3 linked regions of the Lepisosteus oculatus genome follow. The protein of the gene in region 1 binds, or shares a complex with, the protein of each later gene. Links are inferred from orthologs where the notes say so. Each region holds a gene or a part of one and is shown in the gene's direction. Other genes may lie near its edges. The genes, in order: tmem67, transmembrane protein 107 and cc2d2a.

Region 1 (10,874 bases):
GAGACAAATATAATGAAAGCCTCTTCGAGCTCTCCACCAATAATGTGTACCCCACCATCAGGGATTTTCAGTCCAGTGAAGAAACTGCGTATATCCTCAGAACCAGCATCGATTCTAAGCCCCTGTAAGCGGATGACCACCGCCATGCTGAGCACATACAACAGGACCTGTAGACAAAAAGGCACACAACAGCATTATTATAGCCAGAGCCCTGTCAGCGACCTCAGAGTGCACTGCACTGCACTGCACACTATCACAGCAGCTAGACAGGAAGCTTCCGTTGGTTGTCCAGTGCCAGAACGGTCTAAAGTCAGGAAATGATCAGGTCTCCATTAAACTTAACCTAATATTCTGCATCCATGATGATAAAGACATTAACATGTCCAACATTACAGACTCAAAATACAATCTGGGCAAATGTATCAAGTATTTCGAAAGATGACCAAAGCAGCAGCATGCAATTAGTCTAATACAGTATGTTACAATCTTTGAAGATTTAAGATATTGGAATGAAAACAGAATAGTGTTTTAAGAGAATGACACGGTTTGTGTCAACCTATACTGTTGACTGAATTAGGAACAGAGTTATCATGGAACATAAATGGATCCTTATTTCTCAAAAACTGCTATTAGCAATATCAGACGGACTCAGAAATTCACTACTCAATTTGCTTGGTTTATCTCACTCTGCATTCTATGACTAAATATCCATTAATGAAAGGCCCACAATCCAGTGCTATCTTTACAGGCAGTCCTACACAAGAGTTAATCCACATCTGGGGCTCACCTCTGGTTTGTATGCATTATGTTTTTTATTTTAACCAGAAGTCAATGCACATTGGCACACAATACATGATCATCGCTAAGGTAACCCAGTGATGCAACATCATTGGCCTATACTCAGAAGCACAGCGTTTCCAACATGTATAATTACAACACAATAATACCGCAGGTTTGTGTGCATACACACAAAACCATAAAATAATGTTGTGTTATACTTAAAACTAAATCAGAATACCAAATCCTGTTTAGAACAAATCCACACAATACTGCTCCTGTCCATCAACAATGTGGCCCATATTGTATACCACAATAGGCTTTGATACAATGAACAATCCTTCTTTTAGTTGTTTATCCTCACTTCATAAACTATTAAAACTACAGGAAAAAATCATAACTAGACACTAAGAAAGAAAGAAACAAGCGTTTATGAAAGTCTAGAGAAATCCTCCATCTTCTCTGTTCATAAAGAACACAGATCAGTCTTCTTGCTTCACTCCATTTTCTGGAACAAACATCAGTATTATCCACACCAAATACAAAAGCTCCCGATGTCCAATTTCCACTGGAAAGTGTTCTTGCTTTTGAATGTTTCTGTCACATCCAATGCAGTGGCAATGCTTGAGGAATGTACCAAGACGGATCTCTTGCTTAAGTGCAAATTGCACAAAGTGGGACCAAGCAATTCAGTAGAGTGAGGGCTCCCATGTTCCGTGTATCCACTCCATTCTCTTTATGCCAAACAGATATCAATCAATAATATTGAAAAAAATCATCTATATTATCCAGATGACAAGCTTGATTTAAACAGACATTTATTCATCTACACAGATTTCAATGTATCGTAAAAAAAAGCCCACCTCAATTTACTTCAGTACCGAAACAACAAGCTATTGAAGAGATTCAAACCCTAAAACAAAACTATCCAAAGCCATCACGGACAGAAAGAACGAAGATGATGATAAAAAAAAACATCACAGATAAATTTCACAAACAATGACTGAGATCAAGAAAACTTAGCCGAAGATCTCCCAGGCAGTAAAATCACACAACGTTAAGTGACCCCGTCACTGCTTTAAAAAAAACAGCTCTCATCCACAGACCTGTGGGTAGGATGAATTCATTTCCTGCAGAATTCAAGGTGCAGTTGTTGTTCACATCAAGGTGAACTAAGAAATATCAAAGTCTCTGATGGATCGACTCAAGGAAATTAACCAATTTGCTTTCCAGATAAAAACCAAGCAACAGCAACAGCAAACTTCAGAACAAAAAATGAAACTGTTTCTACCATACTGTATACATCTTCCCTAGTCATTAGATAGAGAAGTGAGCTGTTAAAAAATATATTATTTTTAAATATAATTTTTAATTAAAAAGCTTTTAACTGCAATTCTATTTTAGAATAAAGATTCATTTTAATTTACTCTAAAACATGCATTTCATCTTTTACCAATTAAAAAAAAACCCATGCCTGGAAAAACAAGGAAATTGTGTGGCAGAAAAGATTACGTACTTTCTAAACAGCAAGTGGAAATCCCATCCACACACTAAATTACAGCAAAAATCAGACTACAACATGCATAGAATAAATCCTTACTTTCTTATACAACATTGCACTTTTCATTTTAAACCCCCCTATGAGCAGTCAGACCCCCCAGACCAGGTGCTAAGTGAAAGTTTCCAAATAAATGACGCAGCCCTATCCCTTGCAATTATACTGATTTGACAGATTATTCAGAGGAAAACAGACGGGTTTTCTTCCAGTGAACCCACAGAAGTTAAAAGTGCTGCTTTGTTGTGACAACCATAATATCAGAAGAAAGAAGAGCATACCAGGTTCCCGCAAACTTAATGACTACATAGGCAACAAAAACCTGTTGGGAGGTTCTCAAACTGTGCTTAATTGCTGCCGGTGTTTTGGATTTGCACCTCTCCTGATTGGCATTTTAAGGCGTTGCTGCTGTTGTCTGTCGCATGTTCAGAGACTGTAACTGAGGGAAGGACCGAATAGCAGGGGTCGTGTGGTGGGAGTCGACTGGACTGGGTGTCCACTGAGTGGAGCATCAAGACCGACCGACCCCCCCTCCGGTCTCTGCAATGAAAAAAAAAGTGGCACGTCTCCTTCAACCTCCTAAATCACTGCGAGGACGTCAAAATGCAACTAGGTTAATCCAAACCAAGTTAATGAATGACTGTGATTTCTGCAAACAGAACACCGCGCCTGGCGGCCCACAAAACGAGTAATTGTTTCACAAATGTCTTCACGCATCCGTTAAATTAACCCCTATACTGTATTTTAAATTCTGCATGAAACCCTTATTGTATTTGCCGTCTTCCAAAGTGACTCGGTCGTTAAAGCCTAATTTAAGATGTACCGGATATCGTTCAAATTGTATTACAGTACAAAACAGTAAATGGCATACACAGGCAACAAACAAAATAACTGAAAACAGGTCGCTTTTGTGGTAAAAGCAAACACGCTGCCTCACTCTGTTATGTACCTCTCATCACGTTATCTAATCTCATCGATGAACCTAAAGCAATTGGGAAAAAAAAACTGCTGCACGTTATTTCATAATCCAGCAGCGGTTAATCAATCAAATACATTATTTTAACACCCGTTTAAGAAAACAGATGCACTAACGGTATCAACAAAAACACAAAACAACACTGGACAAAGTGCCAGGAAATTTAAAACTACAGTATAACGGGAAGGAAACGAATATCTGAGAACCGTTTCGTTAAATTAAGCAACTATTAAAAAATACAACACATTATATTTGAAATAGCCTATGGACACGTAACAAAACTGCGGGTTAACAACATAAACCGAAAGGTCCTGAGCACTCAGACAATAATTAGACGGTTTCATGGAAGTACACGGAAAAACCCAGAACCCACGCAATTGCCTTACGTACAACAAATATAGAATAAAAATGATTACTTGTCCAGGCCAACAGAAAATATAATCTCCAGATGTCCCGAATCACTCCCCAATACAGGTAAATTTCGATATTAGAAGAAAATGGCGTCCCCCCTCCAAACAACGAGGAAAACGTCAATTACAAAGAACGTCACCATCTACGGAAACTCAGAATAGCCAAAACGTGTTTCTTCTTTTCGAAAAAAAATAATCATAACACTTGGGTTAGCTATACTTTAGTTTATACTGTACCGTAGCCTTAGTACTGTATCTCTTATTGTGCTTTTTCGCATGTAAGCGCATATCTACTAGACACTTTCATTTTTCCATTGATAAGGATGAACGGGTTACTTTCTCTGTAATGCATTGATCCAAAACATATTGGACACTTCAAAGGTTTCAGATCTATGCATTTTTGAGAATCTTCACTTGAATATTTTAGACTAAACTCTAAACCATCCCAAATTGAAATGCTTCATTCTAAAATAGCCTCTTTGTCTTTTGATATGTTGATGGTACACTGGAACATAAAAACGGCTTTGTGTGAACTAATGCTGTAAAGTGCAGACACTATATAGGCTGTATTTAAGGCCAGTCACAGGCTCAGGTTCATACATCTTCTAATCTTTCTGACTAGTTAGCAGTTTATAATTTGTAACCGCTTTGAATTTAATAATTAAATGATTTAGATCCTTCTGAGTGTATGTTTATAAACTGATCATTTTTTCATGTAGTTAAATATAAATGCCACTGTCAAAAGACTACAGCTTGACCAGATTTATAGGATTGAATTATTTAAGTCAATGCTTGCATCATACCTGGAATAATAAAGAAGCCATTTACTAAATGTAATGCAAACTGAGCTAGAGGATTTTTTAACTACTTCTCAACACTGAAGGCTCCATAAACTCAAAGCATATAAGAGCCTTTCAAAAACAGGATGTATAATCACACTTCCTTATTTACATTGGTTTTCATATGTAATTCCTGACACAAATCGTTCATGTGCTTTTGGTAAAACATTACTTCACTTCCACAAGGTATATCTACGAGAAGCATCAATTTAAAAGCTAAAAGCTGGCAAAAAAAAACGAAATTCCTTTCTAATCAAGATTTATTATCTCGTTCAAAAAACAATTCCTATCTTCATTACGAAAAAAATAAGCAAACATGCTTAATGCTATGACAAAAAATCTAACTGTGCTATGTACAGTGTATATAATGTGTTCGGTGGTAACCACATCGATCAGCAAACACACCTCCTTTCCTCTCAGACTCATGAAAACATTCCCACAAGCCTGACAGCAACAGCACAAGGCTCCGGGTTTTGGACGGTTGGATTCTGGGAAACAGGAAGGCTGTCTACCATGGCGACAGGGACGCTATGTGTCTTTATGTGCAGATCTATTTTATTTGTGTTGCTGAAATCAGGTATTTACAGTTGTCAGCAATTCTCCATTCCCTTTCAGCAACCCTCAGGGTGCAGCAGAGAACAATATTTTGACATTTCAAGTCTCTCCTGCGTGAAGTGCGGACCTAACCAAATCAAAAACGCAGATGGTAAGTATCAGTAGTATTTGATGCTAGTATATAAATCGGCTCGGCGCCCTTCTGATTTATCTTCTTCATCAATGGAGTCAACACAAGATGTCAAAATAGGTCTCCGCCAGAATGACTTTCCAAACAGCAATTTTGTCGTAAATTTGTATGTCATTTAGTTAATCACATTATTGTAAAATGCAAATGAAAAAAAAACAACAAACTGAAGTTATCATAGTCTCATTAATTAATGTAAGATACAATTAAAATAGACGAGACGTAAAATTCTGGTTTACCTAAATGCTGCTGCATATTTCTTCAATCGATGTTAAGCAACGGGCTGAACTGGATCTGAAAAATATGGTTTTAGGTGATACATTGTGGTTGCAGGCAGATCGTGAAAACAAAGTATCTGTCAACTTTATACTTCCGTCATCATTCCTAATAATTGTGTCATTCTTCTGTGTTCCTAAGGATAAGAGAACAACTCAATATGTTTAGTGCTTTGTGTTACAGGGACTTCGTGTATATGCGAGACTGGATTCGTACTGGTATCTAATAACGGAGAACCTGCAACCTGCGAAAAATGTCCTGATACAAAAAAGGTATGATTCTTCTACTTCAGTGCAGTTTCTTCTTTCATTAAGAAGCTGAAAAATAACTTAAATGTAGGCTGTATAGGAAACAAAAGTTGGAGTTATTTTATTTCTCCCTGATACTCCTGACTTATGGTTTTAATTTTGATATCGCTTATGTTTTTAAGATTTCAACACACAATCACACATTCACAGATCACACAGCCAACATCTTTATCTTTTTACACTCTTTCTTTTTAAACCACGTCCATATACCCTTGGGGCCCTGACTAGCTCCATTGGTAGTGCATGAGACTCACAATCTCAGGGTAGTGGGTTCATGTCCCAAGTCAGGCGCCAGGTCCTCCATGTTGGAGGTCGGGCACAAGGCTAACAACCCTGTTCTGTAAAATACTAAAAACAGGGTGTTTCTGCCCCTAAATGCCAGAAGGCGTAACAAGCAAACATCCCTCCATATACTATATGAGGTTTAGTCAATGTGTGCTCTGAAAATTGCCCTTGTATCATCCTTCTTTTCTGTTCTGTTACTAATTTACCATCCTCGGGAATAAGGGGATGTTGCTAAGAGCCCATCTAGCCCATTTGGTTGCTAGTAGCTAAGTGATCCAAGGATCTCAGCCAGCCATTTCTTGCGAGAAACTAAGGTCCTGGCTTGTTCCATGCTCCCACAACACTTTGTGTAACGATGTCCACATTCTTTTGTGTTGTGGCGGGGTAGCGTGACAGGTATTGGTCTTTTTAAGTCAGGCTTAAAAAGCAACTGTTCACAGCACACCTTCCCAGGTATGACATCTCTGTTGTTTTTATGTTTCTGGGTATATCTCCTGTCTGTCATAACAGGGAGTCACCAGGGATGGCTTTGGATGTATCAGATGCCCAGGAGGTTTGAATGACGATGGAACATGCCAGTGCTCAGCTGGAAGTATACTGGGTAAGATTGTTTTAAATCTACAATCTCCCTAGCGAGTTAAGGGAGAACTGGAACACTGTTTTTAAATTTCGGATTTAGAAAACATCAGCATTGATGAGTGCATTTCAAACCACAATAACAGTCAAATGTACACAGTAACTTGTAAAACCTCCAGTTTCCATCACATGCAGCGCCATGTTCTGCCATTCAGAACGAGGTAACAAAATTTCCAGTGACGTGAAGTGACTCTTGCTTGTTTAACTCTGCATGCATATCACATTGGAAACTTTCTGTGGTGCAATATCTGCTGCACAATCTGTTATTCACTCTGAACATCACGTTACATCAGTCATTACAGTGACTAGTGAGCAGGAAGGGCCGCATCACATCACACTTCTGGGGAACTTGAATGTGAGTTGGAGACAACATGGCAACTTAACGGTACTTTCCCAAAGTTCACGAGTTTGTGCTTAATTCAAAATTTGTCAAATTTGTCTAAACTGTCAATGGAGTCATATTGCTACCGAGATTTGATATGTGAGAAATTGGGACTGGAGTTTGCCCTTGAGCTGCATTTCATGGAAACAGATATTACTGTGGGAAATACTTCCTCTATTGTTCTTAATGTCTGCTTAATTGAAGGAATGCATGCTTGTATTGACTTAATTATAAACGCATATATTAACCATTTCTCCATGTTGTGTGTATGTTATTTTTCTTACTGACCTCACATTTCCCCCACCAGTTGAAAGGGATGTCAACGGAAGGCAGCTGGAAGAAGGGAAGTGTGAGCCCTGTATTGCTGAAAAACCTGTTTTTACAGTCCCAGATGTTCCTGGAGACAGGTAAATGACTCATTTTTAGTAAATCTCCCTCAGACATAAAGTATTTCTAGAAATTGTTTACTGTATGTTCTGTTTTCTCACAGGTGTGTCAGATGTCAAGAATCCTTTGTCAATACATCCCTCTCCTGTGTTTGTGGTCCATCTGGTACACCAGTACGTATTTTTAATGCCTCTTAAAAACATACCTATGTATACAAGTATACTTTGTTCAGCTCTGATTTGCCTTATTGAAGTAATACTTTTCTTACAGGACTCAGAGGAGCATATCACATTGTATACATATTTTCCTGTTTTGTTGTTGAATTGTTGTGTATCTTATGTTTTTTATGATTATTTTGTAGCTGTTGGTTTAAAGCTTTCATATGTGAGAAAGTGATATGAAGAAGTTTATCATTGTTTCACAGGATGCAATTTACAATTCTTAAGTTATTGTCTGATGCTGAATTGCTTTGTGGGTAAATGCCTTTTGAGATGTATTTTTTTAGTTGTATAATAGTGTGGTCTCACAGGGTAGGAAAAATATATGGAATGGGTTGTCCAACCTAATAGATGAACTGTGTAAAATAACTGTTTATAACACTTATTTTGATGTTTTCAATTTGTACATGTTAAAGTATTTATTTCACCTATGTTTTATTACTGTTTCACTTAGGAATTTCTCCCTTGTTATATATTTCTTCTGTTATTTTTAGGATTTGTACCATAAATCAGGGTTTTTGATATTTAGGTATGAATTATTTACTTTTTCAGTCAGGAGGTTCATGCTTCCCATCAAATAATCTGCCAACAACAGTGACTTCCAGCATTAACTTTGCACAGCTGGTAAGTAGATGGTGAATTTCCTATTCTGGAAATAGATGATGCATATCAATTCTCACCTTTTGTTTGGTCATGCCACTGAAAAATGTACAAATTGTTAGTCAGAGCAGATCCTCTTGTCATACCGGGATCTCTTTCTGAAACAGAAACAGACAAACGTCTTGAAGCAGTCATATTGTACATTAAATCACATTCCAGTGACATCAATAATTGAAGTAGTTTACATATACAACCTAAGTTAGGGGTGACATTGAGACGAGTAGTTTATTAAATGTGAAATGTGGTAGCAGCACAACAGTTCTTTTTGTATAATTTACTGTAGATTCATTAAAGTTGCTAATTTAAAACCTAATTTTCCCATTCAGGCCATTCCGGTTCAGTCAGTTTGGTTTGCTAAAAATCTTCTGTCTTCAGCAACTGCGTGTTTGGTAAGGATACACAGCTGCAATGTTTATCTTCTTTTGTATTTAAGCAAAACTTTTTTTTTCAATATTGAGATTGTTGTACGACGTATGTGTACTTTATATTAAGATATACATAGACTTCTGTGTCATTTTGTTCTGTTTCTGTTTTCTATTCATGGGAACATTTGTTTCCAAATGTTCTGGGAACATTTTTCTGTTCCCAGAGGACATACAAAAATGTACAAAAAGTAAAGGAAGTCACTGACCCAAGACTTCTTCCAGGCTTTTGAAATGAGAGGTGCTAGAGATCTTACTCCCAAAATATAGTTTGATAATTCATCTCAAATATCAATAATCCTAATATGTCATAATTGTCAGCTCTGAGTCATTGTTTTGTATTTACTCCTGTGTTAAGGAAGGTCTTTTTGTCTGCTTCGGAATACCCAGATTCTGTTTAGTTCCAACCAGAAGAGATTATTCTGACACACATTTTCAAATTCAAACAAAAGGTGTGTAAAAGAAAATGTTTTGCAGCATATTTTCAGGTGTCCTTTGCCTTTTTGGATTGCATCTCCATGTAATGTGGATGCAGATGATGATTCTACAGTCAACAATAAACACTTAGAATCTTTCTGTGCTTTGACTTCCTATTCTGAATGTGCGTTTGCGTTGTGTGTAAAAGCACATTCTTATCAGAGACTAATGGACATTCATCTTCATCTGTCACCGTCTAGAAACCTAGACATGAATACCCATAATTACAGTTATGATGAGAAGGTCCCAGACCTTTCCCTGATGAAAACATTTGCACTGTCATGGCAGGTCTGCGACAGGATACCGTGTAATTCAAAAACATCTCAATTGCATCCCATCAGGTTATGACCTGATGTTCTGTTCTGGAAGCCTATTCATTCTTATTTATTTTATACATTAATATGTCTAATTCCTTTGGCTAACAACAAATCTGTATTTCCAATGACTGATGAAGTTTGTTTAAGTTCAGTAACATATGATTATATACCGAAAAGACGAATTCCTAATGCAAGAAATTGTATAGGGCTTATAAAGAAACATTAATATTATTAACACTACCACTGTTTAATTGGATTTAATTTTGAACACATAAAAAGCCCAGTGTTGGAGTACTTTTTATACTTATTTAAGCTTTAAGACCAAAAGGGTGTTATTTAGTAGTCAGCAGCAAAAATATGCTTAGGCTTAATAAAAGGAACCTACAGTGCATGCATTGTTTTATTTTAGTAAATTGAATTTCTATAAAATATGAGTATTTTGTGGTTTACATGAATTGCAGTGATTTTCCAGTGTTAGTCATTTCTTAAACATTCACCTCTGGTAATGATTATCTTGCAGACTCTTTCCAACTTAGCTTCCTGTCAGGCCCTTGGAAACATGTGCGTGATGACCATGAATTCCATCAGCAGTGTCAGTAACGATGCCTGTGGCCTCTTTAATAATATATTCAGAAGCACTGCAGCTCTTGGATCTGTACAGGTTATATCCTACTGGTGAGTCACATCTTTTATAATTGCATTGTCTTATAACTTGCTCTTTAACCAAGAGGAATGCCAACATTTTTATAGAAGAACTTGAATGTATGTTGCAGGACTATCATACAAAGAATGACCGGATGGATTTTTTTGGATGAATAGAAATGTTACTATAATTTTGTACAGGATAGGTCTATATTCCAGAGGTGTAGACAGCTGTTTCTAAGTGCTGTTTTAAAATTCATTCACTTTATAGCAACCCATTTGTGTCCCATGTGACAGTGGAAGAGTATTTAGGTATATAATATGAGAAAGGAAACATTTAATAGCTTTGTTGAAGATTTTTGGTCATGAAATTAGAGTATTTGTTGAAGTCGGGAAAACAAGTGTGTTTTGCACTTTTCTTTTTCTCTAAGAATGCAACCACAAACACGTCCACGTTTTTGTTCTGTTTCAGGAGGGCGAATCTCCCTTGGCTTTACTACGGTGATCAGCCAGGTTTGGCTTCTCGAGTCCTTTTCTCTGTGTCTTTCCCAGCGAGCTTTAGTTT
Region 2 (10,874 bases), on another chromosome or scaffold:
GCGCGTGCGCTCGGCTCTTCCCGCCCAGGAGGATGGCACCGCGCGCGCCAGGAGGCAGACGCACGAAACATCTCGGGGGCAGGGAGCTGCGTCCGCGAGCGCAGGCTGCAAAGGAACAAGTCGAGGTTTATTCCGGAATAAAGAGCATCTATTTATAATAAATGAATCATTCTGGGTAGATTTCATATTTATAAACCAAAATGGTCCAATAATACTCCCCTTTTAAGTACTTTTGAGGTGGAGTTGAAATATGAATTCTATAAAAAACTTAAAACATTTCAAGTATAATGTAAACAGGCGCCGTCCTTCGGATGAGACGTAAAACCGACGTCCTGACTCTCTGTGGTCATTAAAAATCCCAGGGTGTTTCTCGAAAAGAATAGGGGTGTTACCCCGGCGTCTTGGCCAAATTCCCATTGGCCCTTACCAATCATGGCCTCCTAATAATCCCCCTCTCTGAACTGGCTTCATCACTCTGTTCTCCCCACTGAGAGCTGGTGTGTGGGGAGAGCACTGGTGCATCATCCAGGTGGGGCTGCACATTGGTGGTGGTGGAGGGGATCCCCATCGCCTGTAAAGCGCTTTGAGTGGAGTATCCAGAAAGGCGCTATATAGGTATATGCAATTATCACTGCGGGTCATGGAGCAATACTCCAGAGCCTCGGGGTCGAAGCTCAACCGCCGAAAGAGCAAACCGAAGTTCTTCGGGCCCTGGAAGCACAGGACGACGGTGCCGGAGGGTCTCGAGCTCTGCACGGAGCCCCTCAAAATACTGGGGGTTTCCTTCCAGAGCCAGGACAACAAGACCAACAACTGGACCGAGAGGATCGCCAAGGTGAACGCGAAGCTGGGTCTGTGGTTTACCTGGCGGGGGTGTACCCGCTGCCGGCCAGACTCAGACGAGCGCTGCAAGGGATGATCTTCGGCTTCATCTGGGGCGGCAGGTACGAGTACATCATGAGGAACCGGATGTGTCAGCCGGTCGAGGAAGGGGGTCGAGATGTCCCACATTTCCCCCTGAAACTCGACTGCATCTTCTTCTGCAACCTCTGTCGGGCGCTGCGGGAGCCCATCGGCCACAAGTACCAGTACTTTGTCAGGCTGTGGCTCTCCGTCCCGATGAGGCACTTGGTCCAGTGGTCAAACACCGGGCCCAAGGCAGAGAGGCGACCGGAGTTCTACACCCACACTGTCAAGTGGAGCAGGAGGTACGAGGCCACGAGACAGCCAGAGCTCTGCACCAGAGCCCTGTACAAGGAGGTGAGGGGGCATCTGGTCGCAGACGAAAGGCTGCAGGTTCCCAGACAAGTCTGGGAAAGAACGCAGCCGAAAGAACTGGACAACGAACTGAAGGACCTCAACTGGATGGCCGTACACAAGAGACTGGCTACCAGAGAGGTCCTCTACAGACACTCGATCTCCAGGAATCCGCATTGCCCCCGGGACACGTGTTTCGTCGAGGAGACTCAGGAGCACGTGTTCTGGAGCTGCCCCTTTGCCAAGGCGGTGTGGGGCAGAATGGACAACATTATGCAACTCCTGGGAACGGGTGTGGTGCTCAGTTACCAGTACATTCTGCTGGGGCTGGCACCTGATTTGATTTTTAAGAACTTTATTTTCTTTTCACAAAAAAATACAGGACATCACAAATTAGAAAGCTTTACATTAATATACATACTTAAAACAGTATATATGATCACATCTCATTACATTTTGACACGGTACCAGTTACATAGCAACAATTTCTTTTTTTGTGGTGCAAATCACATTCTTTACTTAAACATGATAATGTTTTTCACAGTTTCTTGAGATATTGACCTATGCTCTCTATTTCCCACAGACTTTCTGCTTCCTCCCTCCCTTCTCTCCACAGATCTCTGAGGTAATAGTTCTCTCGGGTGATGAACAGGGCCAGGCTACCTGCTGCCTTGACTGGGACCTCGATGCCTTTGAACAGCCCCATGTTCCTCACTCTCCACAGGGCGTCTTTCCCACTGTTCACCACGGCCCAGATCCTGTCAAACACGTCAGGAGGAAGTTTGACAGGAGAGATGCCGTATATGACGCAGCGGTCAGGGTAAATTGGGGCGAGAGAGCTTGCAACCAATCTTCAAACTGTGCCCAGAAGGCCTTAGCAAAAAAGCAGGACCACAGGAGATGGGTCACAGTCTCCTCCTCGCCGCAGCCCACCCTAACGCAGCGAGGGCTGGGGGTGAGGCCCCTACGGTACAAGAAAGTTCGTACCGGTAAGCACTGGTGGACGACACTCCAGGCTAAATCTCTGTGAATGTTGCACAGAAACTTAGAGGATGTGTGTTTCCACACCTTCCTTGTTTGGGCTGGCACCTACCGGATCAGACAAGGGGACGCCGTTCCTGATGTGGCTGCTGCTGTCCCTCACAAAAAAGGCCTGTGGGACGCGAGGAGCACTCTCATCCGGCGCAACATCGAGTGGGGAGCGAGGGAGCTGGAGGAGAGGATCCTGGCGGGCCTCAGGAGGAGGATGAAGCGCGACATTGCCAAATGGGGTTTCCCCACGGCGAGGGAGTGCTGGAAAGGACTTTGGACCCTGTACAGGGATTAATGGACAACAGCAAGTGGTAGGGTTTGGAGGGACTCTCATAATCGCGCAAATCCACCCACACTTGCAATGATTGATAACGGACAATCACCGCCGTTCCGCCGTTGTTTTTATTACGTAGAGTGTTAATATGTGTGAGATGTTTCCTTTTGAGATGTTTTTTTTTCGGAATAATAAAGAAAAAAAATACAATTATTATTTGATGTATGTATAAAATATTACTTGGTCACATAAATACTTTTCCTCCTTATCTCTGGCAGTTAAGTTTTTTTCTGTTTCATCTTTCATCCATTTCCTCTCCTCTATTTGTATTTGTAAACACAAATTTGTTTACACATTTAATTTTTTTTTTAAGTTACGGTTTATTTCCTGCCGCAGAAGAGAAGAAGAGACTGTGGAGTTTCCTAAAAACGGAAGTATAATGACTCCATTAAAATTAAAAAGCGACAGACAGAAGGTAATTAAATTTTTCCTTCAACAACGACTTCAGTGTAATTAGGAGATTTATTTGTGAAACATAATTACCCAGAATAAGTAAGATCAACGAAGCTTTAGTACACATCATCTGGATCACTAGTTATTTTCTTATATTTAACGAAGTTGTTTTGATCGTCAGTGAAAATCAGAATGGAATTAACGAGGGTGTTGCATTCCTCATCAATTGTGAGATATTAATCATCATCTCATCTCTCTCCATTCATCATGTTCTGAAACTCCATTGCTGGAGTAACAGGTAAGGAACTACCTCACTGACGATACCGTTTAACTGCTAACGCGGAGTTAGTCCTTAATGTTTCGGGTCGAACCGGTCATGGTAAGAAACGACAACTGGCCCATTTTAAACTTCAATATTCGACCGTACAAGCAGCAGATAATGTCGATGAGAGTAGGAAGTAGTTCCCAAGCTCTCGAGGCAAAAAGGATTCAACAGCCGTATTAAACAAGTTTTATTTCAGTAAATCGTGAGCGGTTCGTTTCCCCCAGAAATCCTTGCGTAAGTAATTTACATATCGTGGTAATTAAGGCGTTCCTAGTGGTTCGGCTATCAGTGTCTGTTAGCAGAGCAATACAGTATATAGAGCAATATCATGGTGTGTTTTATACACTTTTTGTATATCATGGGTTAAACACGGTTGGATACATACACATTTATATGTGCTTCACAAAAGGACAAGTGATGGAGTTGATGGTGATGGAGCTAGTTCTGATCTAATCAAAAGTTTTAACAAACATGTGGCAAAAGAAAACTGTCCTTGTTTGCTACAGTCTGGAAACACACGCCCGCTCTGTTTTTAAATCTCCACTTAAGTCTCCAATTTTTTATTTGCTATTTCGTGTCACTTCCGCGATTTCCTTCGTCACCCTGTAAACGTCACCTCGCAGAACGCGAGGCTTCTCGCGAGAGTGCGCGGAGATCTGTTCAGTTGCTGTAGCAACGACAGCGGGCGGCGTGAGTGTCGATTGTTTAGTGAGCTGTTGTAAACTATGAAGCCTAATTTCAGATTTTTAAGCATAATTTGTGCTTTCATCTCATTTTCCTTTTAACTCCAAAAGTGTGTTGTTTTTGTATTTTTGTTTCATTGGTATCATATTTGCGGAGGGCGCTGGATTGTATTTGTCGGTTTGAAAATAAATCATAGCTCCACCGTAACGGTAAGAAACGAACAAATTGTTTTAAAATGTGTTAACTCTTAAATTAACACAAAAGACGGGCACCGTGTGCCGTCCTGGGTGTTTTGAAGTATGTAATACAAGTCCAGCGGTGTCGGTAATAATTCCACTAGATAATGTTATCTATTGTTGTGCAAAAAAAAATCAGTTTTTCCTCATTCCTAAAATACTCGGTGTTTGACGAAACATTAAGAAAAACGTTCATGTTCAACCGGGTTTAATAAAGAAGTGAGGAGGGACTTCGTTAGTGGAGTACGAGCGTAGTAACTTGCGTCATTTTAACATTTTGAGCTTCTAGTCACGAATAGTCACATATATTATCCTAATTGTTAATCTAAGTGATATGAAATGTAGTTTTCTTAATCTGTTCTTGTTCGCTCCACTTCTCAGTAGCAGCAGCAGTAGTAGTAGGGTGTCCGGTGAATCTTTCCTAGTGTTTGAGCCCTCGTGTGGAAAGATGGGGCCGGATCTGTCAGACGCCCCCGGGTGAAGGAAAAGAGTCCAGTTTCAGCTCTGCCCTGTCCTTCTGTTCTTCCTCTGCAGGTCCCGGCGAGCCTCGGTGCCTCTGACCTCTGACCTCGGCCCTGCCGACCTGGCCTGGCCCGGCCCGGCCCCAAAAGTAGAGATGTCTGCTGTGAGCAGCCTGGTTCCGGCCCGGTTCCTCACCCTCACTGCGCACCTCGTCATTGTCATCACAATATTTTGGTCCCGGGTACGAGCCCGCACTTCCAGCAGAACCAATTGTCAGGCTTACCCATACGTCTTAATAAGTAAACAGTCTTGCAAAATTCTTAATAGTTTTCTAAGATCTCTACTGGCTTTCAGCTTCAGTTAGTCCTTCCAATAGGTCTCTTACCACTGCCCTGTGCTGCATGGCAGTGTAGTCAGGGCTAAGCTCTCGTAACAGGAAAGTTGTGGGTTCAAATCCCAGGTGACCCGCTGTACACATGGGTACAGATATGTAAGTGGGAATAAATTGGGAATCATAAATGTTGCTGTCCCTGAAGATTGATAGCGATGTGGGACTGAGTGCTGTGCCTGGTGAATGCACCCCTGATGTTTGGCCTTCTCCCTAACTAGTGTGTCGGTGTGTTTTCCTCTCAGGAGAATAACGTCCTGGCCTGCCTGCCTTTAGAGTACACACAGGAAGAGTACAACAGCCAGGATACACAGTAAGTCCAACGGAATTTCGACATCATGTTTAAGATCGGTTGTCTGCCACAATATTAGGGACCCCCATTGCGAAATGGCGGCAGCCCAGTCCCATCCCTTTCACTCGAGTGTCTGTGGAGGGACAGTGGTGTCTGGGATTGACCTGTATCACTGGTTTCACAGCAGGATGGAGATCTGAGAGGTTGTTCTGGCCAAGAAAGGTGATGGATGGATGGTGTCTGATACCTGCACCCTTTGTTCTGCACACAGAGGAAGTGTAGTGATTTCACTGCTTGGTTCCTAATATTTTGGTTAGTGAGTGGGTACTGTACCACTCTGTATTGTATGTGTGTTTCTGTGAAAGTGTTGGTGCTGCCTGTGTGTAAATATTTACCAATGCATGGGAAGAACTGTGTGTTAAGTGTCAGTTTCGGGGTTCTCTCCCACTACAAGCCTTCTGACGTTTTGTGGGCGGTTGCTTCTCTTTCCGTGTCGCAGGCTCGTCGTGGCCCTCTCCGTGACCCTCGGCATGTTTGCCATCGAGCTGGCCGGCTTCTTCTCCGGCGTGTCCATGTTCAACAGCAGCCAGGGCCTCCTCTGTATCCTTCACACGCTGCCCAGGACTGTGGCCCGGACCTCCCTGGTCCCTTCACAGAGCTGCCCGAGGCTGATATGCTGTTCCCAGTGCAGAGTCTGGTCTCCCACCTGTTGAATTTTAGTTGGGAAGCATGTGGAGCTGTGATGGACAGCCCTGAAGTTGACAGGACCGACTTCCCCTAGGGGCAGGGAAATACTGAAAGCAGTTGGACACTCCGATCCAGCTGAGGATGGGTTGATGAATATCGGAGAGAGAGCAGGCACAGGCAGGGTTTAGCCGTCAGTGTGTCAGGCAGGGTGTCCTGAGAGTAGCGCAGTGAACAAACAGGGAAAGATGTCATCTTGCTGTGACATGTGAGATGTCCTGGTATGAGTGTATCTGAGATGGGTCTCCACTGCGATGGAGTGGCTTCCTGTCCAGGGTGCATCCTGCCTTACATCCAGTGCTTGCCAGGATAGTCTCCAGCTGTCCCGCAACCCTGAACTGGAAGAAGCAGCTAGGAATCGGGTGGCTGGAATTAGAGATGCATGTTTTGTACGGTACGCAGCTGAATTTCTGTGTTTTTCTAAGAGCCGATAAAGTTGAAAGTGCTCTGATTAAGTGAGCTGTAGGTTCAGTGAAGAGATCAGTTAAGAGACCTGGAGCTGGCCGACGCTATGGGGTCACAAAGGACCAGCAGTGGGGATCCTCCTTAAGGCTCGGGGAATCTGGGTTTGACTGGAACGGGTTCTCGTGGCCATAAGGGCACCCCGCGAGCGCCTGGGGTTACCACTCCCTGACTCAGCCACTGCCCTCCAGCCACTGCGGCCCACGCCAGCGCCGGAGTCGCGCTCGTCTTCTTCCTCTTCGAGCAGTGGGACTGCGGCCTGTACTGGTGGATATTCGCCTTCTGCAGGTCAGTGACTGAGCGACTGACGGCACAGGCAGACCGATGCACTAACGGGGGGGGAGCGCTTTTGGTCTGTTTTTGGGACTCGCTCAGAGGGAAGACCGAGCCCCCTGGTCCACACGGTGCTGGTTTCAGCCAAAACAGTAAATGTTGGTCGCCCACAAGACGTGGCAAGTAACTGACTTGGCAGTTTAGTTGTCCAGGGTTCCCCCCTTATCTTGAACGCAGGTAGTAGGATACTAAAGAGTTTTAATTAGGTTTACCACTACAAAAATTATAATTGTGTTTAAGGAAATTGAGTTGTGATTTTTTTTCCAGAAGGAAACACTTTGCACTAAGGCAGGGAGTTGTGAAATAAAAAATATTTTTAGAATTTAGAATTGTAGATCTTCTCTGTGTTGCAACTGTAGGTTGATTCCTACCTTAACTAAGGCCTCCTTGAAGAAAGAGCTAAGTCTTAACGCAAATGTGTGATGTGAGCACATGTATTTGTTGCCACATCTCTGAACACAGAAGGAGTTCCTGTTGAAGACGGTTATCCCTTTTGAAGACTTTAAGTGAAACCGGCTGGTGCTTACAGTATTGATAAAAACAATGAGAGCATCCCCCCCCCCCCACCCTCCCCTCAGTCTGGTTTGGTTGTTTTTCCCTGACTGGCGCCCCCTGCCAGCCCTGGCCTGTCACTGCAGCGCCTCCGTCTGCCTGTCCTTCTTCGTGTTCCAGAAGTGGGAGTGCTGGACCTACTGGTATATTTTTGGATTCTGCAGGTAAAGTTGCACGTCCTTGCAGCTGTGGGATTCGGTGGGACGTGGGCCTAGGGGTCAGTCACAAGTCGGGGATGTACAACCCTGTCCTGGACAGTCACACTGTGTCTTTCTCCTCTTATTTCTTACTAAGCCCTGAACGGATGAATTGGGTCGATATCTCACCTACTATTAGCCCTATCAAGGGTTTGATTATTGAGCACTCAGGTGGACCAAACACTGCAAGTGTGTGGATCCCCAGGACAAGGGTTGGGACTATGATGTATATTCAGACTGTAGTGTAAGTGGTATTGATTCCTGTGTTCTCTGATGTGTTTTCAGCGCTCTGCCTGCTGTTGTGGAGATCTTCCTCTTCATCGCAGTGTTTGGGCTGAAGAAGAAGCCTCTGTGAGCCAGGAGGCAGACTCACAGTTAGGACACTGCTGCCCTCCTTTTAGCTGAACCATGAACCACGTTCCTCCCCTCCACCCAACTGGAGAAAATTGAACCCAGCACAACCCCCCCCCCCCCCTTCAGATTTCGCCCTGAGGTCGTTCGCAGGAACACGCACATGCCGGCAGGACGCCGCTCGGCCCGACCGGCTCTTTCAGTTCACGGCTTTACCGACGCTGTTGCTGCTTATTCGGAAAAAACAGCCACACCCGGTCTACATCTCCTCTCGTGCAAAAAATAAAATCAAAGAAAGGCAGGGAGCCAAACCGGAGCCACGCAGTGCCCAGCGGTTCCTGTGGCCCCAGGCTGTGTGTCCCTCCACTGCGGGTGCTCCGGGTGCAGAAATACAGGCCGGCTCTTCGCCAGGGTGAGTGCCCGCAGCAGAGAGAGAGCAGGCCGCTGGCGGGTGAAAAGGAAGAGGTACCTTTGCTGCTGGCAGAGCCTGGCAGCTCCTGAAGGGCAGTAAATGGGTCAGCCGGCAGGGGCTCTTGATCTTTTTATATTTTCTAAAATAAACAGCCAACTTGACAATAAGCAGTCTGTGATTTTTATGCTGGTTACCTGTTAGGTGTTGTGTGTGTGCATAGCAATTTTATTGTTTTCTGCCATGCTTTTTTTTCCCCCTATTATTATTGAGAGGAAAATAAAGGTCTTTTGTTGGCGAGCAATGTGCTGACCTTACAAGGCAAGTGAGGAGACAGTGGAAGGCAGTGTGACTGACATTGCTCCTCTGCTGTCAGGCTTTGCCTTCTGCTTTTAGATGGGGGGGAGGGGGGGTCTTCTTGGAGCTGCCCAGCTAGCTCTGCAGAAAAGCACAACACAGAATGATGCGGTATACTGTACACGTCTCCATTGAGGATCACATCTCTGTATGCAACTCAAAGGTTGGGGCAGACTTCCCTTAAAGATACATGCCCGACTCCAAGAAGGACAGGTGTATGCTTCAGTTGAGTGACTTCCACAGCTCTTTTAAAGGCTGATTTCGTGATTTAATGATCCTGCTTAATCGTGTCTCGCGCTTTTTTGTGCTGAATGTTTTAATAAGATGTGAACTGGATTTTGGATATTTCTTTGTCCCAATGTTTTTTTTTTTTGGTCAAACCGATGATTTTATGGTTGACATCTACGCTAGAGGAAGAAAACGAGGTTGTAATATTTGAGCGGTGGGCGTCAAGCTCTCCTCGGAAGGCGTGCTTCTCACTGGGCAGTTCAGAAAAGATTGTCATCTCGAGTGCCCAATGAGCGTTCCTGATGCCGGCTGTGTGGTTACCGCCCTGGCCAATCACAAGCTCAACCTCTCGTTTGGCTAGTCCAATCAGACGCCGGTTTGGATTTAAACATTGGCGGTCACGCTCGTGGGGGTTAGCAACTGGCTGTAGAAGCAGGGAGCAACAGTGCATATGCAGGTAAAAATGTAATTAAAAAAATATATATTATTTGCGATTATATTGGGAGACGTTTAATAAATCCTTTTCTGCGCTGGCTATGCTAGTTGTTTTTGATTTGTTGGTTTCGTTAAACATCGTATCTGACGTGTTTTTTTGTGGAGTTTTGTTATCGAGTAACGTTTTAAAGCATTTTACCCGTCTTTATCTTTTCACTTCGTGTATAGCAGCTTATCTCCCTTTAAAACGATTCTCAGACGGAGGTAAACCACAACCCGAGGTGTAACTTTTCAGCGGGTAGTTAGTTTAGGTAAACAAAAGGCAAATCATTTGTAATTGAATAACTGTTGGTGTATCGATCTGTGTTAATTTACTGGGACCCTTTCCGGAATCGCCTTGAATTTAAAATAAAACGGCCGGGCGTTTATAATCCGAAAACCCAGAGGCAGGACACGAAAGGAAACCGCTGGATGCCGGTTTGGGGGTATCTATATTCCACACCCGGGTGGTACAGCTAAATGGACGTACAGTATTTAATCAACTCGATATCACCCGTGGTTAAGCACTCCTTCGTGGTAGACTTGATAAGGTTATTGTAGTAGTTCAAGTAAGTAACTGCGTCAGCATGCGTAGGCTGCAAAGGAACAAGTTCTTGCTCCTCCGTGCTGAAAAGGAGAGACACAACGTTTAGGCTGTGGAGCCGCCTTCAGTGTGTGTTCAGGTCTCTTGTTCCTTCACTGTCACTATAGCTGACCTCTTGAAAGCCTCCAGCGCACGGATTTCGACAGGATGCACAGTCTTGTACAGTCGTGCTCAAACGTGTCGTCTTTAAAGTGCCTCTTCTTGTGTTGCACCTTGACGCTTGTGAGACGCTGCAGTGAACCTTTTAAGATGGCGAGCGTCTTGCCCGTAACTCAATTGGTGTTGATCTTTAAGATCTGACCGGCTCGTAACTGCAGCAGCTGTAAAATCGCCTAGTGGACACAACAGGTTCTTGTTGTGAGTTTTTTGTCTTGTGACGTTGCAGAGCCCTTCAGTAGACTACTTTTTTTTCGGTGTAAACTGCATTTTAAATGACCGTTGGGGGAGTCTTCTCGATTTTCTGTCTTCTGGTAGTTTATCCATCAAACGCCCGGTGATTGGTCCTGATGTCAGCAGCTGTAGTTCCTCTCCCCGCCACCAGGAGGTCTCTAAATGTAGTTAAAATTAACTTATCCGCTTTTATAAATGGCGCGTCTCACCCCGAAAGATAACCAGAGTGACTCGCATATATGTAGGAGGGAGGTGTCTTCATCCATGGTTTTGCCGACACCTTTGGAAGGCGAGCTGAGAAATTGCTTAAGCTTTTGACTTTAATTATAATTTCCCAGACTGGGGAGATGTCCAATAAAGAAAACCAGGA
Region 3 (10,874 bases), on another chromosome or scaffold:
ACTGGTGGCGAACAATCCAAAACGTGAGACAGAATCGTAGTCGAAAAGAGAGCTACAGGGTCAAATCCAAAACAGGCAATGATAGCAAACAATCAAAGGGGCGAGACGAGATCCGAAGTCCGAAGGCAAAAGGTGCAGGCAGAATTCCAGGAAGGCAAAAGAGGAGTAAGAACGCTAGGCTGAGCAACAGGTAGAGAACTCAATACCGAGCAACGGGAATCAGGTACGAATGGTATAAATAACCCGGCGTGCCGCACGGTAGAGCAATTGCAGGTGTGTTAACTCGTGCGGCGGCGCTTGTTAGTAGTAATCCGCTGCTGGTGCTGATTAGCTCGCTTACGTGTTGATCTCCGCTGGCTGGTGGTCGTGACAACACCCCTTTCAGAAATCCTGACAGTTTGACTTTTTGTGAAAACCAGTTGAGCTATATTCATTCAATTAATGTGATAATTACATTTTATTTAATAACCTTTTGCTTTTCATGAGTAACGTCTCTAGGTTATTTATTATTATATTGCTAGAGTAAAATTGCATTATGCGCTTTCAATTGAATTTTCTTATCTGTCTGTGGTTGTTATTCTAGATTTTCGAGTGTTGAAAATAATATAAAAAGCATTTCTCCCTGATGGTATTAATTGATCTATTAAATTATTTATGTCACCTCTTTCTGGGAATTGATTTATTACACATTGGGTTAGGTTTGCATTTTACCATGAGCATTAAATTTGTCAAATATAACCATCCATTCTTAATCAGACCCTAATCAACAGGCAGTGAAGATTATCTCATTCCTTCACACTTTATGTGAAAATACAGCTCTGATTTTTTAACCATAATTTAGAGATTGTTCGAAAAAAAGTAATACAACGTTGGAGTCACAGTTCCCAAGATCTTCTATGGGAACCCTGTTCCACATATTCTGTCTTCAGTATTTAATGAGGCTCCAGCTTTCCTTAACTATCCTGAATTGGAAGAGGAGGTTAGTAAATGGATGGATGGACTCAAAATGCTGTAACCAGACATCAAGCTGGCTGATGAGTGTCTGACCTTTATGTACTACAGTGTATATAGTTGGAGAAGATTGTCCCATCAAATACTACAATGTGTGTCTTATTCTTCAGTTTTTTCCTAGGTGCACAAACATCAGCAGTAAATACAGTTTGTGACTTATATAAACTGTCCCATAATAAACTAGTACAAAAGGGATCATGTACAGCTTGTGCTAGAAGCTTTTTATTCTTACTATACTATAGTGAATTCTGGATTTTTTTCTTGCAAACTGGGCTGAAGCAGAGCATATCTGTTTACAGTACTTACATAATACATTATACAGCAATATATAAACAACAAAATGTGTAAAATAAAGAATACATTATATTATACATTGATATGAGTCCTTTGTTTTAGAAAGAACACAATTCCTTGATTTGATATGATATCCTGTAGCATGTTCCACAAATTATTCAGGCTGTCTGGTTGCTGTTTTAACTTATGTGGTATTCATATAATCCCAGTACCCAATGATGATGTTCATATCAGGACTTGTTCAGACCAAGGCCTTTTCAACCATTTTCAGACAAGTGGTGAGTGGCATATTTTATGATCTAAGTACTTTTTCACTACGCTGTTCGCTTGGAGTCAGTGTGATGTTGGAAGATGCATCCACGCCTAATGAAATGTGCTTCTGGTGGAATAGCATGATGGATTAGTACCTGCTGGTACTTGTTTTTGGCTAGGATAAGGTGGAGTTTTTGTAAAACTGTGCCACCTTGTTTTGATTCATATCCAAGGTTCTATTTAGTTGTGTTACTTGGACTATATAATGTGCTTCCTATTCATGTGGCTTTTCATGTGGCATGTGGTCAATTTTTAAAAAGCAATTCCAACATGGGCGCTTTGTTTAAATAAGTCTGATAAACATACAAACAAACTGTGTTTAAATATGCCTGACAGCACTTTGTGCTAAAGTACTGTATTTATTTCTGTTTTAAAAAACATGCTTTACCTTGAATGCATACTGCTTGGATGTTGAGAATGAAACTTTCATATGGAGTTTTAACAAAAGCCTTCGGAAAAAATAAATCTCTTCACATGTTCTGTTTGTATTAATTACGGCTGATACTTATGCAGTCAAACTTAAGTAGATTTCTCTTCTATGAGATCAGAGGAAATCAATGCATATGGCAAAAACCCATATACGATCAGAAAGAACAAGCAGACACCATACACACAGGTCCCCCAAGTTGGAAAGGAATCAGTTTGAGGGAGTAGTGCTAACCACCAAGCTCACAGTGGTGTCCAAAGCACCATATCCATACCAAGTTTGGAAATACTTTACCAAATATTTTTTACCCAGCAGTTTGCAATACTAGAAGTGTATGAACAAGAGAACTATATGGTGGCCATTCTGATTTATGTAGGAAGCCTGTTTCTCTATATTTATTAATTGTATAGAATCTACAATGATAGCTTTCATGTTTGAAGTTAATTGTCCTATTTTTCACAGGATCGACTTGCATTATGAAATGTGATTCACCAAACAAGAGATGACATGTTGTACCGTAAGTATATAGGGTATTACTACAACCTTTGAGGGGCAATTCTGAAGTGCAGTATGCATATCATGGAAACTGCCAAGTGTCGAGAGAATTGGTGGGGCAGTGCCTAAGACAGTGACAGACTGCATTTTTTAATAAAATGGCATTCGTTTTGTCATTTAACTTTCTGCAAGAACCGCACATTGCCATATGTTAACTATTGTCATTAGAGTTGTCCTTACCATGTTTAGAACAACATGGTCAAGCAATTTTTGCCCAGGATTGACATTGAGTAAGAGGCCACATGGCAAGTAGCAGTTGATGGCCCAATGGGGGTGGGATAATTATGTCAATACTTGTGAGGTGAAAATCACAAGAAGCTTTAGCTATTTGTGACATATTTAAATCATGGTAGATGAAGTAATAAGTGTGGCAGATGTTAATGGTATGATCATTATTTGATGAAGAGAAAATGTTTGTGAACCCCGAAGTTGTCCATTATTCTCTTATATTTTTAAGATTAAATGTAATTAGATCCTGAAAGTTCTTTGTGACAACCACTGGCACACACATCACTCTCCCCAAGAAGGATGTCACCTTTGTGTTTTGCACTTTAACGTAAAATCATTTAATCTTTCAACTTTTGGACTGCCTCCGTGATCCTAGCTTTTACTTGATGTTTTGCTGTCGCACAGTCTTCCTCCTCCTTCCAGGTTTCTCTTCACTTGGTTCTACTCAACATCTATAGATCTTCCTATTTGGAACTCTCTTCATCCTTTGTCTTCATTTGACACCAAGCACTATGCATGACTAAAATAGTCATTTGATCTTCTCATTGATTATCCAATCTCCATCTTCACTAATCACCAGGCACATGACTAAATCTGTTTTCCCAATTCTTAATCTTCACTAATTCACTAACAATCAGCCACTAGAATATTCAATTAGACTGTATCCATGAGGCTCAATCTCAGTCTTAACTAAAATCACTTCAACAACCAGGCACTAGATTATCCAGATTAAATGTTGACTGAATACAATGTTGACTAAATTCACTTTCACTCAATTCTTTGTGCAACACTTTCACCCCAACCCTTCACTCAATCTTCACCAAGTACCTGATCTTCACTTATAACCAATTACTCTTCTCATCACTACCTATAAAGCTGTCCCTGGCCAGACAAACCTCCATGTAGCCCACACTTGCAGCCTTGACACAGCAGCAGTCTGCTTAAGACTCTCTCTCTCTTCTCATAGACCACCAGTCTGTCAATTTATGAAAACCCAGGGAGTCCTCGGTACTCAACCTGTGCTAGCTAGACTACTCTCTCTCAGGAATAGGGAGATGGCATATTTCTACCTTGCCAAGCAATGCCCTACTCCAGGTGCCAAAGACTCCAGTCAGTTTTAATTAAGCAGGCTAGCTCTGTTCCCTAGCAACCAACTTCAATCCCATTGTGCCTGACAAACAAGCTATTATGCCTTAATATTCCAGTACCTTTGGTGCCAATTGAGCAAGAAACATACTGTAACGCAACGGGGGCTCAGGCGGGTGCCCTTGCCACATTAGGTCGGCCCCCCACCGTCGGGGGCTCGAACCCGTGACTCCCGCGTCACTCAGCAGGGAGCCAAAGAGAGATCTCTCCACAGCCCAGTAGCTGTAGTCCTGCTACCACAGGGAAGGGTGGTGACATCACCTGCTCTGGTACGCCGGCTCTTACACAGTGCCTGTCGGCCATAAGCATTACACCCTCCCCCGCTTAAATCACTGCCCCCAGTGAAGGGCTATCCCACACCACTCTGACACCAATGTAACGCAACAGGGGCTCAGACGGGCACCCTTGCTACATTAGGTCAGCCCCACACCGTCAGGGGCTCGAACCTAGGACTCCCATGTCACTCAACAGGGACCCAGCCCGGTGAGCCTAATAGAGATCTCTCCACAGTCCAGTAGCTGTAGTCCTGCTCACAGGGAAGGGCGGTGACGTCACCTGCTCTGGTACGCCGGCTCTTACACAGTGCCTGTCGGCCGTAAGCGTTACAATACCTTCCTCATCTTCAGGCTTTTTGGGATAGCATTACACTGCCACCTTCACATTCATTAATCTTTTGTGTAGTCAATCCTCTTCCTAATTACTATGCAGCACCCATCTGTCCTACACCTACAACAGTCCAACCTATATTTTCTCAAGCATCCCTTGTTCACTGAGAACTGCAGGTCTGTAAGCCAGCTCAATTCATTACTTATGAGACCCCATAATTTCTCACTTCTCACTTGATTGAAACCTAGACACAGACTGAAATCCTTTTCCTCCTAGCTGCTCTTACAATTCTACACTGTGCCCATCCTATCAGTTGCTTCACCTCCTATGAAATCCCAGGTGTGCCTTGTTTTTAAAGTTTTGTTTACATCAACAGGTGACTTCCCCTCAAAGCCACCTCTCACTACCTTAGAATTATTATATAAAAGATTAAAATAACCTAATTGCATGTATAATACAAAAATATAACATATATTTGGATTGTTTGACAAAATACATCCCTTTTCTAAATGCTTCATCCAATTCAGGTTTATGGGAGTGCCAGATGAGAAAAAGTGTACATAAAGAACATATTTCAATGGGTTAAAAATAATAAAATAGCTTGATCAGTCACTTAATTTGGATAAATTCAAAAAAGGAAAGTGGATCGATCATCTTCTTCTCTTTTGAATGTTATATTTTAAAATAAGGAGATGTTATGGGTGGCACAGTGGCATAGTGACGCAGTGTTGGATTCCTGGGTTTAATTCCAAACCCGCGAGTGTCACCGAGGATGTTTCGGTTAAACCCCCTTCCTCCACAAAAAAAACTCCACCCTGAATTGAAAGATCGGATAGAACTGGGGTGAATGGAGAAATAGTCCTAAAACACGTAACAAAAATAAAAAAGAAAGGTTGCTGTGAGATACGTTTAAATCTTGTTTTGGACTCCTTTTGAAATCTAATCGATTTAATGAATATAGACCCTTCCGAGCCACCATAGTTAATGACCGTTCAAGCCCGCCCTCTGCCCTGATTGACAAGCAAGTTGCTGAATGAGGTGAGTGCAGAGGAGCACTGGGGTTGTTTTTACATCAAGGTATCAAGTTTGGTTGGAAAGTAGTTTCCGTCGTTACTAAGCAGCAAAACTGAACTAGTGTTACAGCCTGCGGCAGTTGATAAGGTGTTTACAGCGAAAGAAAATATACTGGTATATGTCTGAATATCGAACAATGAAAGATATGCCAGATGTGACTTTGCATTGCTTTTATTTGAAATGTTACACTCACTGTTTCACAAACGGTATCATGCTTGTTTTATGAGATGTGCATAGATAAATTGCATTTAAACAATGCAAGGCACAGTATATTAGTTTACTTTTTTTATTTGTATAAATAACTTTGCTTATACTGTATTCTGTTCAATGTGTAATTGTGTACGTACTGTATCTGCGGCTAAAGTAAATTATTTGTTGTCTGTTTATAGCACTTCTATATAAGTAGTACACCTACCAATTAGATAGTAATTATGATGCAACAGGTTTGCCCGAGGTTGTATTTTTCTTTTGCATAGCTCTAGGGCATAAGAAACAAATCCTACCTTTTATTACAGGACAAAGATTTTGAGTAACCATTAATTAGTTGCTTAAATGACTTCAGTGTTTTTTTTTTTACAGAAATCTGAGACGGGACCCAACAATAGAAAGGAGAATTCTGAAGTGTCGAGTTTTAATTGGCATCCTTTCTTGTGATGTCAAACTGCTGTGCATAAGGACATGGCTTCTTCAAGGTAGGTGGAATTATTGGTTGATGAGGCAGTCAACATTTTTTAAATAACTGGGCCATATAATTATAAGAACATAAAAAAGCTTGAAAGAGAATGGAAGCCATTTAGTCCATAGACCTGACTTTGTTTCTAGTATCTAATTGAGCTGAATGTGTCATCCAGCTGATTCTTGAAAGAAGAAAGAGTATTAGCGTATTCCAGACATCCACAATCCTTTGTGTAAAAAGTACCTCCATTCTAAGTTTTAAAATCATTTCCCTTTAGTTTCTTTTAATGTCATCTAGTTCCACTGGCCGTATTGATAGATTTGTCTCTGCGTTTCAGGATTTTAAATGAATAAGTTAACCCTGTGGACTTCTTCAAATTCAGTGTAACTCGTGAAAATCCCCTCAATTATTAGGAGAACATGCAAACTCATTAACGTTAAGGACAAATATATCCAAAAGCATCAAACAGTTATATATTAAAGGGGGTTTACTTTTACAGCAGAGCACATCCTTAAGGTGTTAAAATCAGTTATAAGATACGAAAGCTAGTAAAGACTACCTACAGTGTTAGGGTACAATATTAAATAGGTGGATGCTACACATCGGTGGTGGAGGGGAGTCCCCATTACCTTCAAAGTGTTTTGAGTGGTGTGTCCTGATTATATAAAAGCGCAATATAAGTGTAAGGAATCTTTATTGTTTGCAGCTAGTGTTTTATTTTGATATCACTGAATTGGTATCCCAATTCTCTTTCAGTGATCTACGTGAGAAAATTAGAAAGAAGCGGAAGGCACTTCAAGAATCTTTGACAAGAGTTAAAGATGACATTGATAAACAGGTAAAATGATGATTGACTGAAGTACTGTAACTGATAATTATATGAAAATATACAGAGGGGGTAGCCGTTCAATTTGAAAAAAGGCAGAATGATAACTGGACTTACATGGCTCATACTAGGCATGTTTACTGACTGATGCACTGATTTCAAACTTCCCCAAGAGGTCTCTGTATTTATTCCTGGAGTCAGATGCTTTCTGACATTAAACAGTTTTGCTTTTAATTTCCCATAGCTTATGAATCACATAAAGGAACAATAATGTTCATTATGGCACTTCTGAATTTTTTTCTCTTAGCAGTTACTGTGAAAGATAATATTTTCCCTGTTACTGCTGTGGGCATTGAATAAGCCCCTCAACTCCACCCATCATTTCCAAAAATTAGCATTTGTTCTACAAATGCAAGATGTATCTTCTTATAAATTTAGAAAAGAAATCTAACTGTAAATGTATATTAATCCAGTCTTTTTGGTGAAAAGTAAAACGAAAATGTGTTCAGGACTGGCTCAGTAGACTGATAGCAGGTCAGATAACTTTTATCAAGGCAGCTCTGTGCAAGACTCAACAGGCCCTGGAAATGAGGTTTGTAGCCAAAGGAGGGAGGAACCTACTCCTCAGAGCTCCTTTTCACCATTAAATGCTGTGTTGTTTTGCTTGCCAGGCTTTGGTCACCACAGAAATGGAAATCAGTAAGGAAACTGAACAGGCTACTGTAGAGGTTGGTGTCTGTTCAGCCTTTCAGTTTGGTATGCTGTCTCTATAGATTTCATAAGGCACATGGATTGTACCTGTCCTTTAAACTATCTTATACTTTTTTTGCTTGTCTCTTCCGGATAAAATAACAACGCTAAACAGCACTACGGTATCTTAGTATTAACTGAATTCATTTGACTTTAGTCTAATAGGTAATTTCAAAGTAAAAAAAAAAGCATTAATATGAATGATCCCCTTGTTTCTTCAATGCAAGTGTGAGCTTGTTCTCTATGGTTTTACCTGAGCAAGTACAGGGTTACCTATTGTTCATGGCAATTAATCATCTGTTTTGATTTTAGGGAAAACTGTAAAATAGTGTAAAGAAATCCACAAGTCTGTCAAAACTTCTGATGGACATCTGAAAGCTATTCGTATGAACTGTCTTAAAAAAATATAACACATTGATTGATGATTTCCCCAGGATTTAATGTGTGCACTGCATGATACCAACCTTAAATAATTTGTCTTTTTGACAAAATTCTCTGTGGTTTGGGCTTTATTTTCAGGAAGATTGAAACTTATCAACATTCTTTTTAAAGATTCTTTTTATATTCTAACTCAGGAAATCGTTGACAATGAGGAAACACAAGTGGAAAATTTAAAAAGAACTTTGAAGGCGCAGAGACAGAGGAGAAAAAAGCCTGTAAGTGTTTTTAATTAAATAGATCACACAGTGTATAGAATTTCAAATGTGTGATACAGATGTGTTCAGTAAAGAAATACTTTTATTCTAGTTTCCATGTAAGTTATTGTAGATATTCAAGTATTTACTGACTTTCCTTTCTTTAAGAAATTTGTATTACATTTTTTTAAAATGGCACAAATATATTCACACTTTTTTGCAATTTGAAGCTCTCTTTTTTTTCTAAACGGGATTTTTCATTTCCTGGTGTCACTCTGAATTCAGCATTTGCACCTCTAATTTCTTAAACAGCTTCGAGTGTACTTGAGCATTCCGTTTAATGTTTACAATCATTATAATACAAAGGGATTTTGAAACACTATTTTTGAATGCTTTTTTCATACTCCCTTGAAGATAATATTCAATCCACACCCTATTTAGTGATAGTAAATCTAAAAATTAAGTCTTCTGACTTTTATCTTAGTTACAGGAGGATACGGCTGACATAATCTCTGAGGAGCCAGTGAGAGACCCAAGTGTTGTGGTTCATGGTCAGAGAAGTAAGTGTTTACTTAAGGTTTTCACATCAGATTTGGGGGGGGGGGGGTTGTTTTGTATAGTGTTTTCATCATATTTATTTCAGCTTCCCATCAAACAGAATAACATTGTCTTCAGTGCAGCACTTTGGTTTCTCCATCCTTCCATCTTTCCTTTCATTTTCTAACTGCTTCTTCCAATACAGGGTTGCAGGGGAGTGGGAGCCTATCACAGCAAGCAACAGACGCAAGACATGGTAGTATTTTTCTATACTTCTATACAGAAGACTATGAATGGAGTATAAATGGCGTTAACATTGAGAAGTCTTAATTCTCTTGCAGAATTTTTAATAGATGACAGACCTGGGAAAGTGTATAACATTTTATAAATAAAATGAACTCTTAATTTGAAACATTTTAATCTTATAACTCCTTGTAAGGTACAGCAAAACACTTACTAATAACCAATAAGTTTCTTATGAGACAAAATGTAATATACACAGTATCATTTTTAAAAGATGTAGTACCTCAAACATTTTTTGAAAGTTATAAAATATAACATTGAGCCATTACAAGTCTGAATTCTTACAAGGTTTTTTATTTACATTTTTCTAAGATCTGTCTCCCCATCCTGTGTCTACACCAAGTACCAGTTACGCAGAATTCTCAATGAGAGAACGCATGAGAGAGAAACTGAAAGCTGCCAGGGTAATAAAACCATTACTGATTACTCACCCTCTAAAGGAAACATTTTGAGAAGAAAAAATAATGTGAAGTGTAAAAAATATATTTTTAACTGTCTTTGCTTAATGTGTCAGAAGTCACTGAAAAGACACTAGTTTACAGACACTGAATTTATGATATTGTGATTATCTGTGTAGAATATTTATACAGAAGAAACTTACATCAGCTACAATGTAAAACAGTTTTTCTTTCCATAATAAATTGCTGTGCGCAAAAACAGAAAGGAAGAAAAAATATTAATCTTTATTTTTAGAAAAATAAAATCCTGTATTTCATATGTTTATAACATATGAAATACGTTATAAATTATATGTTTCATATAACATAGGTTATGTTTTTCATTAGTCCAAAGCAGAAAGCATTCTGCAGCAGGAAGACACTTCTGAGCCTACAGGTCGCCTGAGGAGCCTGAGAGACAGAGAGACAGTCACTAGATTTGACAAACAGGTGAATTATTGTGATACAAGTTATGAGTAATGAGCAAATCTGGTCTAACCTTAACCATATGGAATCCTATTCAATTTTCTCTCCAAATGAAAATGAAATGAAATGCAGAATACATGATCCTTCTATACAGTATATGATCTTCCTCAGTAAAATAAGTACAGTAGATATGTTTTTGTGCTAAGTTGAAAGTTGATAGGTTCTACACTTCTGTTTTTTTCTTATTCAAATAAGCTATTACAGTCCTGTTTCTTTCCCAAGGAATATAAAAATACATTTGGGGCCTGATGAATTCTACTGTTACACAGGCATGCTTTATATAAATTAATGCAGAGGCATTTCATTATGCAGTAAACATCTTTGTTTGTGCTCTTGTTTTTTTTTTATTTGAAATCTGGAAATTGCTAATATACAGTTAGATGACCACGAATTCAAGATAAACGGAGCTGATGCATCTCCTGCTGGTTCAAAAGTAAAGTTTCGAGATGTTGTGAAAAGAGTCAAGCAGAGGTCTCAGGTAACAGTATTCTTTCTTTTAGTTTTGTTTTAACATCTCTTTACAATTCAGCTGTTCCTTTCGATGCAATTCCCGAAATGAGTATGTATATAC

What was found.
Region 2: tmem67 (region 1) and transmembrane protein 107 share a complex: the UniProt entries of both Homo sapiens proteins name them as parts of the tectonic-like complex. The link is inferred for Lepisosteus oculatus from reciprocal best matches to the Homo sapiens genes TMEM67 and TMEM107.
Region 3: tmem67 (region 1) and cc2d2a share a complex: the UniProt entries of both Homo sapiens proteins name them as parts of the tectonic-like complex. The link is inferred for Lepisosteus oculatus from reciprocal best matches to the Homo sapiens genes TMEM67 and CC2D2A.

The regions. Positions count from the first base shown.
Region 1 is NC_090705.1:7,409,398-7,420,271, forward strand, and holds the start of tmem67 (meckelin), read left to right. Parts: upstream 1-5,053; 5' UTR 5,054-5,070; coding exon 5,071-5,263; intron 5,264-5,758; coding exon 5,759-5,847; intron 5,848-6,678; coding exon 6,679-6,769; intron 6,770-7,493; coding exon 7,494-7,593; intron 7,594-7,676; coding exon 7,677-7,746; intron 7,747-8,343; coding exon 8,344-8,415; intron 8,416-8,777; coding exon 8,778-8,840; intron 8,841-10,187; coding exon 10,188-10,342; intron 10,343-10,781; coding exon 10,782-10,874. Other genes in the region: rbm12bb (RNA binding motif protein 12Bb), read right to left, coding at 1-167, 1,884-1,904. UniProt on the Homo sapiens protein: Required for ciliary structure and function. Part of the tectonic-like complex which is required for tissue-specific ciliogenesis and may regulate ciliary membrane composition.
Region 2 is NC_090698.1:9,298,087-9,308,960, forward strand, and holds transmembrane protein 107, read left to right. Parts: upstream 1-3,992; 5' UTR 3,993-4,234; intron 4,235-4,795; 5' UTR 4,796-4,877; coding exon 4,878-4,964; intron 4,965-5,356; coding exon 5,357-5,424; intron 5,425-5,902; coding exon 5,903-6,003; intron 6,004-6,800; coding exon 6,801-6,897; intron 6,898-7,561; coding exon of another isoform or gene 7,562-7,658; intron 7,659-7,976; coding exon 7,977-8,046; 3' UTR 8,047-8,621; downstream 8,622-10,874. Other genes in the region: aurkb (aurora kinase B), read left to right, coding at 9,488-9,493, 10,843-10,874. UniProt on the Homo sapiens protein: Plays a role in cilia formation and embryonic patterning. Requires for normal Sonic hedgehog (Shh) signaling in the neural tube and acts in combination with GLI2 and GLI3 to pattern ventral and intermediate neuronal cell types.
Region 3 is NC_090696.1:45,322,224-45,333,097, forward strand, and holds the start of cc2d2a (coiled-coil and C2 domain-containing protein 2A), read left to right. Parts: upstream 1-5,649; 5' UTR 5,650-5,740; exon of another isoform or gene 5,741-5,767; intron 5,768-6,232; 5' UTR 6,233-6,331; coding exon 6,332-6,345; intron 6,346-7,085; coding exon 7,086-7,167; intron 7,168-7,826; coding exon 7,827-7,883; intron 7,884-8,480; coding exon 8,481-8,561; intron 8,562-9,024; coding exon 9,025-9,100; intron 9,101-9,282; coding exon 9,283-9,333; intron 9,334-9,692; coding exon 9,693-9,784; intron 9,785-10,165; coding exon 10,166-10,267; intron 10,268-10,679; coding exon 10,680-10,781; intron 10,782-10,874. UniProt on the Homo sapiens protein: Component of the tectonic-like complex, a complex localized at the transition zone of primary cilia and acting as a barrier that prevents diffusion of transmembrane proteins between the cilia and plasma membranes.